Linked DNA regions of Rattus norvegicus. The protein of the gene in region 1 purifies or fractionates together with the protein of each later gene. This does not show direct contact. Links are inferred from orthologs where the notes say so. Each region holds a gene or a part of one and is shown on either strand. Other genes may lie near its edges.

Region 1 (4,942 bases):
CTAGGACTAAAGGCATACATGAGAACGCCTGGCAAGATGGATCTTGGTAGAAAGTGGAAGCTTGAATTTCTTTGCTAAAGGTATGGCTATTCACAATATGCTTCTTGGAACTAAGAATTCAGGCTTCATAAACATATTTTGCTTACAAGTGGATTTTTGGGTACAATTTTATCCATATTCCATACATAGTATGAACCCAGTCTTGAAATATCTCTATACTGGGCTTGATTTAAAGCTCTGGTTCCTCCTGACCTAAACCCATTCACGAATGTCTTAGGATGCTCTCTACAGAACCTCCCTTGTGCAGATTGATGACCAGTATTCATACAAAGTTATAACATTCTGATAACCTAAAAGAGATTACCCCCTCAGCACCAATTCCAGAATGTCTTTGGGTTGTACTCTCCCAAATCAGACACACGGTAGCCATCACATAGAGTGGGACTCCTGGATCCGCATATCCTTCATGGGACATCATATTTCAGAACCCCGAAGAGTTTTAGGCCAGCACAGGAGATCTGCTACAGAAAAAAGCTCAGCTTGTGTTCAAAGGTAAACATCTAGGAGAAGTCTGTGCTTTGATGTGCAATTCAACATCTGAGATGAAAATCCTGGTTTTAAGTTCCCGTGGGTGAGATTTTCTTAGAATAGTCCCTTTACAGTCCTCACAATTGCAGGGCCTAATTAAAGCAGAGGAGAACAAGTCCGTGCAGTGGATGGATTAGTTCTTTTTCTTGCTGTGATAAAATGCCATGACCAAAGCGGCTTCTGAGGTTTGTTTGGCTTGCATTTTCTCAGAGCCCTTAACAGTGAGCTTGCATTTTCTCAGAGCCCTTAACAGGCATGGAAACAGTAGGCTGGAACAAGAACATGGCCGACCACATCTTCCACCACACAGAGAGAACAGACAGTCGGAAATGGGGTGAGGCCAGAAGTTCTCAAAGCCTCTCACCAGTGAGTTACTTCCTACAGCAGGGCTTATACCTTCTGACGGTTCCTTAATGTGTCCAAACAGCACCACCAACGGAGATCATGTGTTCAAATACTGTCCCTCAGGTGGACATTTCTCATTGTTACACCACAGTAGAGTTTATATAACTACTACCCACTCTGAAGACTTCTCCAACTTGTGTACACAAAAATAAATAATGTAAATCATTGAATTAATACTAGGAAACATGGGGTTTTCTTAGAACAGGCAAGACTGTGGATTTTAAAGGTAAATAAAATAGGTTTTACACAGGCCTTGCCATGTAGCTGTTATGTAACCTTAGCCGGTCACTTTTTCAAACCTCTTTATGTCCCAGTTTGCTTGCCTACAATCCGTACCAAAAGAATTCCACCCTAGTTCAAGAGTATTAAAACAAAGATGGCCCTGGACAACTGTTTTTATTATTATTATTATTATTATTATTATTATTATTATGATGATGATGATGATGATGATGATGATGATTATGATTATGATTATGATTATTGATTTTTCTCATCCGTATTGTATTTTCAAACTGTTAGTGCATTTCCAGATCCTCTAAGTTGCAAATGTAACAAGCTCAGACAGCGCCAGGTGTTCCCGCCGGTGTCCAGCAGGGGACGCTGCAGGCGGCGGAGACAGAGACGCGACCGGAAGTCAGGCTGGCGGCTGTGGGTGCTTGCGACGACTCCTCCTGCTTCCGCTGGTGGCCCAGGACTACTCTCAGTTTTCTCAGCTTGCTCTTGTACCGTGACCATGCCGCTAGAAAACCTAGAGGAAGAGGGTCTGCCCAAGAACCCGGATCTGCGCATCGCGCAGCTGCGCTTTCTGCTTAGCCTGCCGGAGCACCGCGGGGACACGGCGGTGCGCGAGGAGCTGATGGCCGCCGTCCGGGAAAACAGTGAGGCCCGCGAGCGCCGAGTCAGCGGCCTAGGCTGGGGCGGACCGGGTGCCTGGCTGGGCGTCCCGTTGGGGCTTTTTGGAGAGCCCTAGGGAGCCCTCCTGGAGCCGAGAGGGACTTGTCTTAGTGGGTTCTTCCTCGCCGCGAGCTGTTCCGGGAAGCCTCGGATGCTTGTGGCGCTTAGACTCCCAGCAAAGGGTCTTGACAGTATGTCTGTCAGTGTTTCACTCTCTGCCAAGGGGCAGTTAGGGTTCTGTCCCTATCAGTACACGTCTAGTAAGTGTCCTTTCCGTGACGTGAGGATTCCTTTGGAACAGGAGCCTACCAGAGCAAACTAAGGATTCCCCTCCTGTGGCCTTAGTAGTGTTCAGCCCTGTAAAGATTGGTTCTCAAGCAGGTCTCCTAGCTCCAAAACCTTAGCTGTGCTCTCCAGGCCCACAGTTGGTAGGCGCCTGCTAGCTGACTTTTGATGGGGTGGGGAAAAAAGCAAGCTGACCCTAACAAGTGACCTCATGGTGCGTGATTTATGGCTTTTAGATATGGCTCCTTATTATGAAGCCTTGTGTAAATCCCTCGACTGGCAGATGGACATGGATCTCCTCAGTAAAATGAAGAAAGCAAACGAGGAAGAGTTGAAACGTCTGGATGAGGAGTTGGAGGATGCAGAGAAGAATCTGGGAGAAAGTGAAATTCGAGATGCAATGATGGCAAAAGCAGAGTACCTCTGTCAGATAGGTGACAAGGTCAGTGGAGATGCTCTGTCCTCTCTGGATAGGTGACAGGGTCTGTGGAGATGCTCTGTCCTCTCTGGATAGGTGACAGGGTCAGTGGAGATGCTCTGTCCTCTCTGGATAGGTGACAAGGTCAGTGGAGGTGCTCTGTCCTCTCTGGATAGGTGACAGGGTCAGTGGAGATGCTCTGTCCACTCTGGATAGGTGACAGGGTCTGTGGAGGTGCTCTGTCCTCTCTGGATAGGTGACAGGATCAGTGGAGATGAGAGTTGCTCCCTCTTTTCTGCAGGTACAGACTCATGTTGTACCTCAGTGCAAATGAGTAATATCTCCATGGATAAATAGAAGGATAATCATATTCACCTGTATTCAAGAGTCAGTACAAAGACAGTAGATACAGGCTAATGCTGCAACATCCAATTCCCTGCTCTTAACAGTAGCAAGGTGTGTATTAGTCTTCATTTCTGCGTCATTAAAAACATGCCTATGAGGCTCTGTGGTTTAAGAGCACATACTGCAGGTCATCTTGGAGAGGACATGAATTTAGTTCCTACCACCCGCATCAAGAAGTTCACAACAGCAGCTCCCAGATGTCTGGTGCCTCTAGCATCCAAGAGCATGTGCATTCATGTACACGTGCCCCCAGACACACATACACATAATATTTCTCCAGAACAAAACAAGGGCACAGAGGTTTTGCCCCTCTGTTTACAACATTGGGGTCATTCTCAGTAGTTCATTTATTTGGTAGGGAAGCATTTACTGTACATCTTAAAAGGTTTACGGTAGGAGGCTAGAGCGATGGCTCAGGGGTTGAGCGTGTTGGTTGCTCGCAAAGAGGACCCAGGTTTGATTCACAGCCTCCAAATACCAGTTTACAGCTCCCTTAATTCCAGTTCTGGGGGATCCCATACCCCTTCTGACCTCTGCTGGCCCCTCCAGGCAAGCATCATCATGCAGACACATGTTTAGGCAGTATATTCATAAAATCAATCTAAAAGATTTTACACTAGTGATACTTATCATTCGGGGGCTGCAGATGTTTGGCTTTCTTGTGTTCTATACCCTGAGAAATAATCAACTCACATAGCTCTTTCATTGTGCAGTTATGCACTGGTGTATGTATGTCCTGTGGGATACGAGCAGTGAATGTGTGTTTGTGTGCATGAGATCACTGTGTGGTCCACGAATCCTCCTCTTCCGTGCCTCTGTCATTGCATCTGGGAGAACGTTGTTAACGTTTCGGCTCCCTGCTGCCCCATGCGCTGTCTGAGTAGCTTGTCTGTTCAGCTGGTCGTGGTGCACAGATTGCTTCAGCTGGATTTGCTTTAACAGCTATAACAGTTGGCTTTTCTTAAACATGTCGCTGTGATGAAAAACATGTTCCTATGTCTCCTTGTGTATATACCATAGTGGTTTGTTCCTTGGTCTTTTGTTTTTTTGTTTTTTTGTTTTGTTTGTTTTTGTTTTTTCCTTTTCTGTGTGTTTTGAGACAGGGTTTCTTTGTGTAGTCTTGGCTGTCTTGGAACTATCTCTGTAGACCAGGCTGGCCTCAAACACACACAGATCTGCTCACCTCTACCTCCCAAGCTCTGGGATCTAAAGGCGTGGGCCATCACTGCCCATATACACTAGTGTTTCTTTAGGATACTGTTCAGTCTGTGAGGTGAAATTGCTGGGAGAGTGAATATTTATTTTCCTGTGTGTGGCCATTAGTTCTGCGTTCCAGTATTTAAAACAGTGTGAGCTCTTGGTTCAGATGGCCTGGGCCATATGCCAGCCTGAACAGTCAGCGTCAGTACTGCAGCTTCAGTCTCCTCAGGTGAGGTGGGTGACGTGCTTCTACCTGATGCTGGGTAAAGATGCAGGGAAAGAGCTTGGAACTGCGCGCCCAAGGAAGGGCTTCAACCGGATACTGTTGTTTTTTAATTTACAACTTTTTTATTTTAAATTTAGTAGTGGTCATTTTAGAAACTTAGAAATAGAGGGGAAAACCCCTGAACAGTAGTATGAGTATGGTTTGCTTTGAAGAGTAGTCAGTATATATGTGCCTGAGTGGCTTGAAGGTTTTGGCTCAGGTCTTGGATTTACTCAGTGTGGCTTAGTCAGCATTGGGTGGCTGTGCTTACGTGTTGATGCTATATTCCTTCTGTGTTGGCTCACAGCATTCTCCCCGAGAGAAAATTCAGTTTTTATCTCTTATTGACTGTTTCTAATGGTTGCAGTGGTTTTATTGTTACTTATATTTATCCATTTTTTGATGCTTAGTTCATTGCAGATGTTTGTGGAGATCCCTTTAAGACAGTCTTGTTATCTTTTAATTCAATCTCATGATTC
Region 2 (5,247 bases), on another chromosome or scaffold:
AGAAAAAAAGGAAGGAAGGAGGGAATGAAGGAAAGAGAAGAAAGAAAGAAAAGAAAAAAAAAAAGAAAGTTTGTTTGATTACACATTCTATCACATCTCTGATTGATAACATTTTTTTGAGACAAGTTCTCAACTCTTATTCTAGGCTGACCTAAACCTGGCCACAATCCTTTCTTCAATCTCTCAATTGTTGGGTTTACAGAAGTGAGACATCATGCCTAACATAACATTGTTTTTATTTTTATCAGTAATGAAGTAAAATACTGTCAAAACCAAAACTCTATTATCCTAAACCTTCATATGAAGAGAACATCAAAGACTTTAAAGACTATTTTTATATGACCCTCTGCTCTGATACTTTTTTTGTACTTGAAAGTACTTAGAAGACCATCGGTTAAAATTCAAACCCAGTTGCAAAAATCAGAACACTTGATGTTTTAATAGCTGCATATACATGTAATATAAATCCATTAACAGTAATTTTATCATTAATAACAAACATAAACCTAAGTAGAATAAATGGTAATATACCAGTAACCATTTAAGGTTTTATTTTTTTAAAGGACATTTGAAAAAATCATCTTAAGCCCTTGAACAGAAAAAAATTAGCTATGCCCAATGGAAAAAAAAAAGTTGATAAAAATTGAGAGAAACGATTACAGCAATTTTTGAGGGAAGAGAGATTGACATAAATGTTTAAGATATACAACTGAATAAAATTAACATGTCAGAGAAATTAGTCTCAGATGAAAATTACATTTTCTATTTAAAGCCATAAAAAGGGCAAGTAGCCAGTCCTGGTGGTATACAGTTTTAATTGCAGAACCCTGGAGACAAAGCCAAGAGGAAAGTTACAGGTCATCCAGTGGAGTACCATTAAGACCCTTTCAACAAAAAAAAAAAAAAAGAACGAAAAAATGGTGATGGTGGATATTTCAGAGATTAAAAAAAGCCACCTACAAAACCTGCATGCAAAAGGGATTTTTTTTTTTTTAAACTCATGGTTAAGCTCCTCAGGTATATGAGGAGCAATACCCAAAGAATTACGTGTGTATACCACTCCACAACACACCAATGCAAGGTAAATATTGACACAAATACTTCACAGCTTACTTACATTCTGATTCTGAAAACAAAGCTACAAGTCATCTCATCTTTATTATGTGTTGTATCTTTCTTAAAATATAGACTGCAAATTGATGAAGTTCTCATTTTTATTACAGATTTTGATACATGGCTTTTTTGTAATGCTAAGTATCTATGGATTTACAGTCATACTTAGGCTTATCAGCAATACAGATGCAATATCCATTCCCTTAAAAGTGCAGTAAGCAGATTCTACTTAAGAGAATTTAATACTAAAGCAGTTTCTGTCATACATAACAAGACAAAATTTTCCTTTTATCTCTCCTAAAATCTAAATCTGCATGATTTACCAAAAAAAAAAAAAATCTTAAGTAAAAGTAGTCACTAATCTGGGATGTGACAAAAAAAAAACAAAAAACAAACAAAAACAAAAAACAAAAAAAAAAAAAAAAACACTTGTCATGTCACTTGTCCAACAAGATTTACTAGGTCTTTGAATATTTAGCTTTTTAACAGCTATATTTCTCCCCCACCCCCTGCCCCACAGCTATATTTCTTAAAGTTCAGGCCATCTTCATTTCAAACGCACTTCCTTCTCCAAAGCATTTTAACATAATCTGCTGCTTCTCCCAAAACCCTGGGTTATACGAACATCCTTTGCGACATTAGATAATTGTGGATCACACATCCCATATACTATTTGGTTAACATTTGCAACAGTACACTAGCTACTTAATACAAACCCAAAGAGATTTTGTCTATTTCAGTATCCTCAAAAGACATAAAAAAAAATTGACGTAAAATTGTCTTTAGAGGATTCTAAATGTGAAAAAGTCTTATTAAAATTATATTTTTTATTTTTAAGGCTAACGCAATTATAGCACATTCAACTCTGACTCTTCCAACAAAAAGCCTCCGCATCAAAATGGGGAAAACGTCCTTTTCATTTTCTCAACTGAAAAGGGGGAGGGGAGAAGAGGAGGAGACCAACTGCTTACAGGTTTGCATTTAAAATTAACACAGCAGTTTCTGAGGAATCCAGTAACTCACGTTCAACTACTGAATCCTACCAGACGCAGCACACGAATAAAACCACAGCGCAATCCTTGGGCTTGATGTGCCGCTTCATCCGTCTTCCTTCCAATCCACCCCCTACAATACCCCAACCCACTAAGCACACTTCTAAATATGTCTTCCCCACCAGAGCGCCCCTTTGGAGGAAAAGGACTTCCTTTTGCAGCCTGAAGCCACGGCTGGCTCTCCGATCCCTGCTTAGATGAGGCCCCAATCTCGACGCCCTGCACGTCCGCCCCACCCCGGGCCCACTCGGGTACCCGCGGGTGACAAAACCCTCCCTCTTGCGCTCAGCCAGCACTGACAGTTAAGGCTGCAGCAGCCGCAGCCACCAGGGCCTAGTCCTGGCACCGGCCCCTCCAGACCACGCGCCCAAGCACTCGCTCACGGAGGCGGGTGAGGGCCCAGGCGCCTACCCTGTCAGCGCGGCCTGGAGGGTGACGAGGGGACCGGCGGTACAGACCAGAGGGAGCGCGCCGGGCAGGCCGCGGCCGCAGCAGCACTGACCTGTCCTCGCCCCCGCGCGTGGGCTGCGGCCCTCGCAGCTGCGGCCGCCTCACTGGTCCTTGTCGCCCTCGTCCACCGCCGCCGCCCGCCACCGCCTCGTTCCCTTTCGCTGGCGCCACCGCCGGGTCTCATGCGGGACCCGCGCTTCTCCTCAGGAAACTGAGGCCGGGAGGCCGGGCGCCTGGGCAACCTTGAAGTCGGCGCTGAACGGCTGCTGCCGCGATCTGTCCACGGTGGGGGGCGAGGGTGGCGAGCAACTCCGAAGAGAAGCAGAAGGAGGCGCCACCGTCCGCGACTGGTCGAACGAGGAGAGTCGTGATGAGGCGGTGAACAGCTGCGTGGCCCGGTGCGCGAGCGAACGCAGGAGGGGCGGCGAGGTACTTGCGAAGACGAAAGGCCCTGTCGTCTCCTGTAGTCACCCAAAGAGGAGCGCCACCATCTTGGGAGAAACACGGATCTCGCGAACGAGGACGAGAAGACTAGGTGGGCGGACCGAGTATCCCGACAGGCAGCGCGCGCCACCCTGCCGGCGGAGGGCTCCAAGTCCGGAGGCGGGAGACTAGGCGAGCTCGCGCGTGCGTGGGACGACGACTGTCTCCGCCCCGCCCGGATTGCATCTCTGCAGGGCCCTACTCTAGTTCGCCTTCGCTCTTGGCGCGGGTGCCTTTGGGAAAGGGAGATGGCTTTGGGCTAGGTGGAAGCTGGCCAGCACGGTCGCCATCTTGAGACAGGGCTGAGAGAGGCTTGGTGTTTTTAGCCTATGCTCCTTTTACCCAATCTATAGACCATTGTCTTCGGTGTACTCGGGAGAGCTGACAGGGCTAGCCAGCCGAGGATAGCCTCGGAGTCAGAGGGTCGAATAGGCTGAGAGGGTATTGCCTACTGGCAGAATAAAGAACCTTAGAAGTATTTAGTTGTTATGGCTGACCCCTACGACTTTTTTGCAGGAACCCGAGAGTGAGCAACCTTCCAGTAAACAAGGTCATCCGCTTAGGCCTCTGCCAGGACAGGATTTGTCACTGGTTTACCAAACTAGTAGGTAAAAGCCTAACCAGTGGTGTCTTCCAGTAGATTGTCAACTGAGTGAATCCCTGCTTGATCCCACATGGATAGAGACTAATTTTGATATGCAGAAGACCTGAACTCTTTTAGAGCCATGTGACTTCTTGGTACCAAAGTGATGGTTTACTTAGGTTTTTTGCTGTTGTTGTTGTTGTTGTTAATGGTTTTGACACTCAAATTATTACAGACTGGCTGACACGTTATTTTCTGGCTTGCAACTTTGTAAGCCTTAATCATCTAGTACTCAAAATGTAACAATCACATGTAGCAATGTGCTTTTCTGTTTCTTGCAACTCCTATAAATGGATACATATACATCTCCCCACTATAAACAGCTATTTTTGGGTTTTTTTGTTTGTTTGTTTCTTTGTTTTTCAAAACAATTTCTCTCTGAAGCCCTGGCTGTTCTGGAGCCCACTCTGTAGACCATTCTGGCCTTCAATTCAGAAATTCACCTGCTTCTGCTTTCTGAATGATGGGATTAAAGGCTTGCTATTTTTTAAAACTTAAAAAATAAGCAGGGGCAGGAGGTGTAAACTATTGCACGAAAAATAAGTGCAACTGTTCAGTCAGATTGTAAGATACTTTAAAATTTTTCTATTCTTATTTTTTTTTCTTCATTAAAAATCCTCATTTGGAATACCATTGTATTATATGAAAAGAGCTAGTAACAAATGTAACCTTTTAAAGAGTTATCTTTGCAAATTATTAAAATACAAAACCAAAACGAAGATCATTAGACTACTAAGAAAAGTAAAGTATTGCAGCGGAAAGATGCTTTCAGCTATTCACTTCTAAATAGAAGTTGTCTGGGAAAAAAAGGAAATTTTCTAGTAAGTAATGTGAATTGTCAAAATATAGCCAACACCGCAGAGTTCTAAAAAGCTTAAAAGTTTGAAGGATATAGATATCCAAATGCCAATCAAGTTCTATACGGAGATCGTGGAGAATCCCAATTTATCATACCAAACTGAAAAAATTATTTACTTAACGTTAAATATATATTCTTATATGGGCCTCTGATGATCAGGACTTCATGTATTTCAATTTATTATTTTTAAAATTTAGAAACATTAATGCTAACATAAGGGTGCATGCCTGAAACCCCAACATAGGGAAATCTAGAGTTCTATGGAAGGTCTCACTGTAAAGAGAGACTATCTTAAAGGGAAATGGAGAAAGCAATGATGTTTATGCCAAAAATTATTAGCATGAATGATTCCTGACAACATATTTGCATACTTCTCAGGAAAAGTATGTTTTCCATTATCAAGCTTGTATCTTTTTTCAAACACCTTTTCTAGGAAAAGCTACTTGGTATATACGTGTGCAATAAAGTCTAAGTGAGACTCAATAATTTGAAATATTTTCTCATTTCAAATATAAAAGAACCATGTAAGTGTATAAGCATAGCCATGCTATAAACAAACTTAGTGTCTACTATTTAACTCAGAACAACATGGTCGCTGTGAAACAATACAAGGCAATTTCTGTACATATGTTCAATAAGTCAGTTTA

Evidence for each region. Proteins that work in one complex are often made in the same cells at the same time.
Region 2: the proteins of Psmd6 (region 1) and Ube3a purify together in Homo sapiens (affinity purification with mass spectrometry; 4 studies listed by BioGRID). This does not show direct contact. The link is inferred for Rattus norvegicus from reciprocal best matches to the Homo sapiens genes PSMD6 and UBE3A.

The regions. Positions count from the first base shown.
Region 1 is NC_086033.1:13,531,023-13,535,964, forward strand, and holds the start of Psmd6 (26S proteasome non-ATPase regulatory subunit 6), read left to right. Parts: upstream 1-1,652; 5' UTR 1,653-1,729; coding exon 1,730-1,874; intron 1,875-2,411; coding exon 2,412-2,617; intron 2,618-4,942.
Region 2 is NC_086019.1:119,204,074-119,209,320, reverse strand, and holds the start of Ube3a (ubiquitin-protein ligase E3A), read right to left. Parts: upstream 3,174-5,247; 5' UTR 2,668-3,173; intron 2,663-2,667; exon of another isoform or gene 2,577-2,662; intron 2,535-2,576; exon of another isoform or gene 2,137-2,534; intron 1-2,136. UniProt on the Homo sapiens protein: E3 ubiquitin-protein ligase which accepts ubiquitin from an E2 ubiquitin-conjugating enzyme in the form of a thioester and transfers it to its substrates.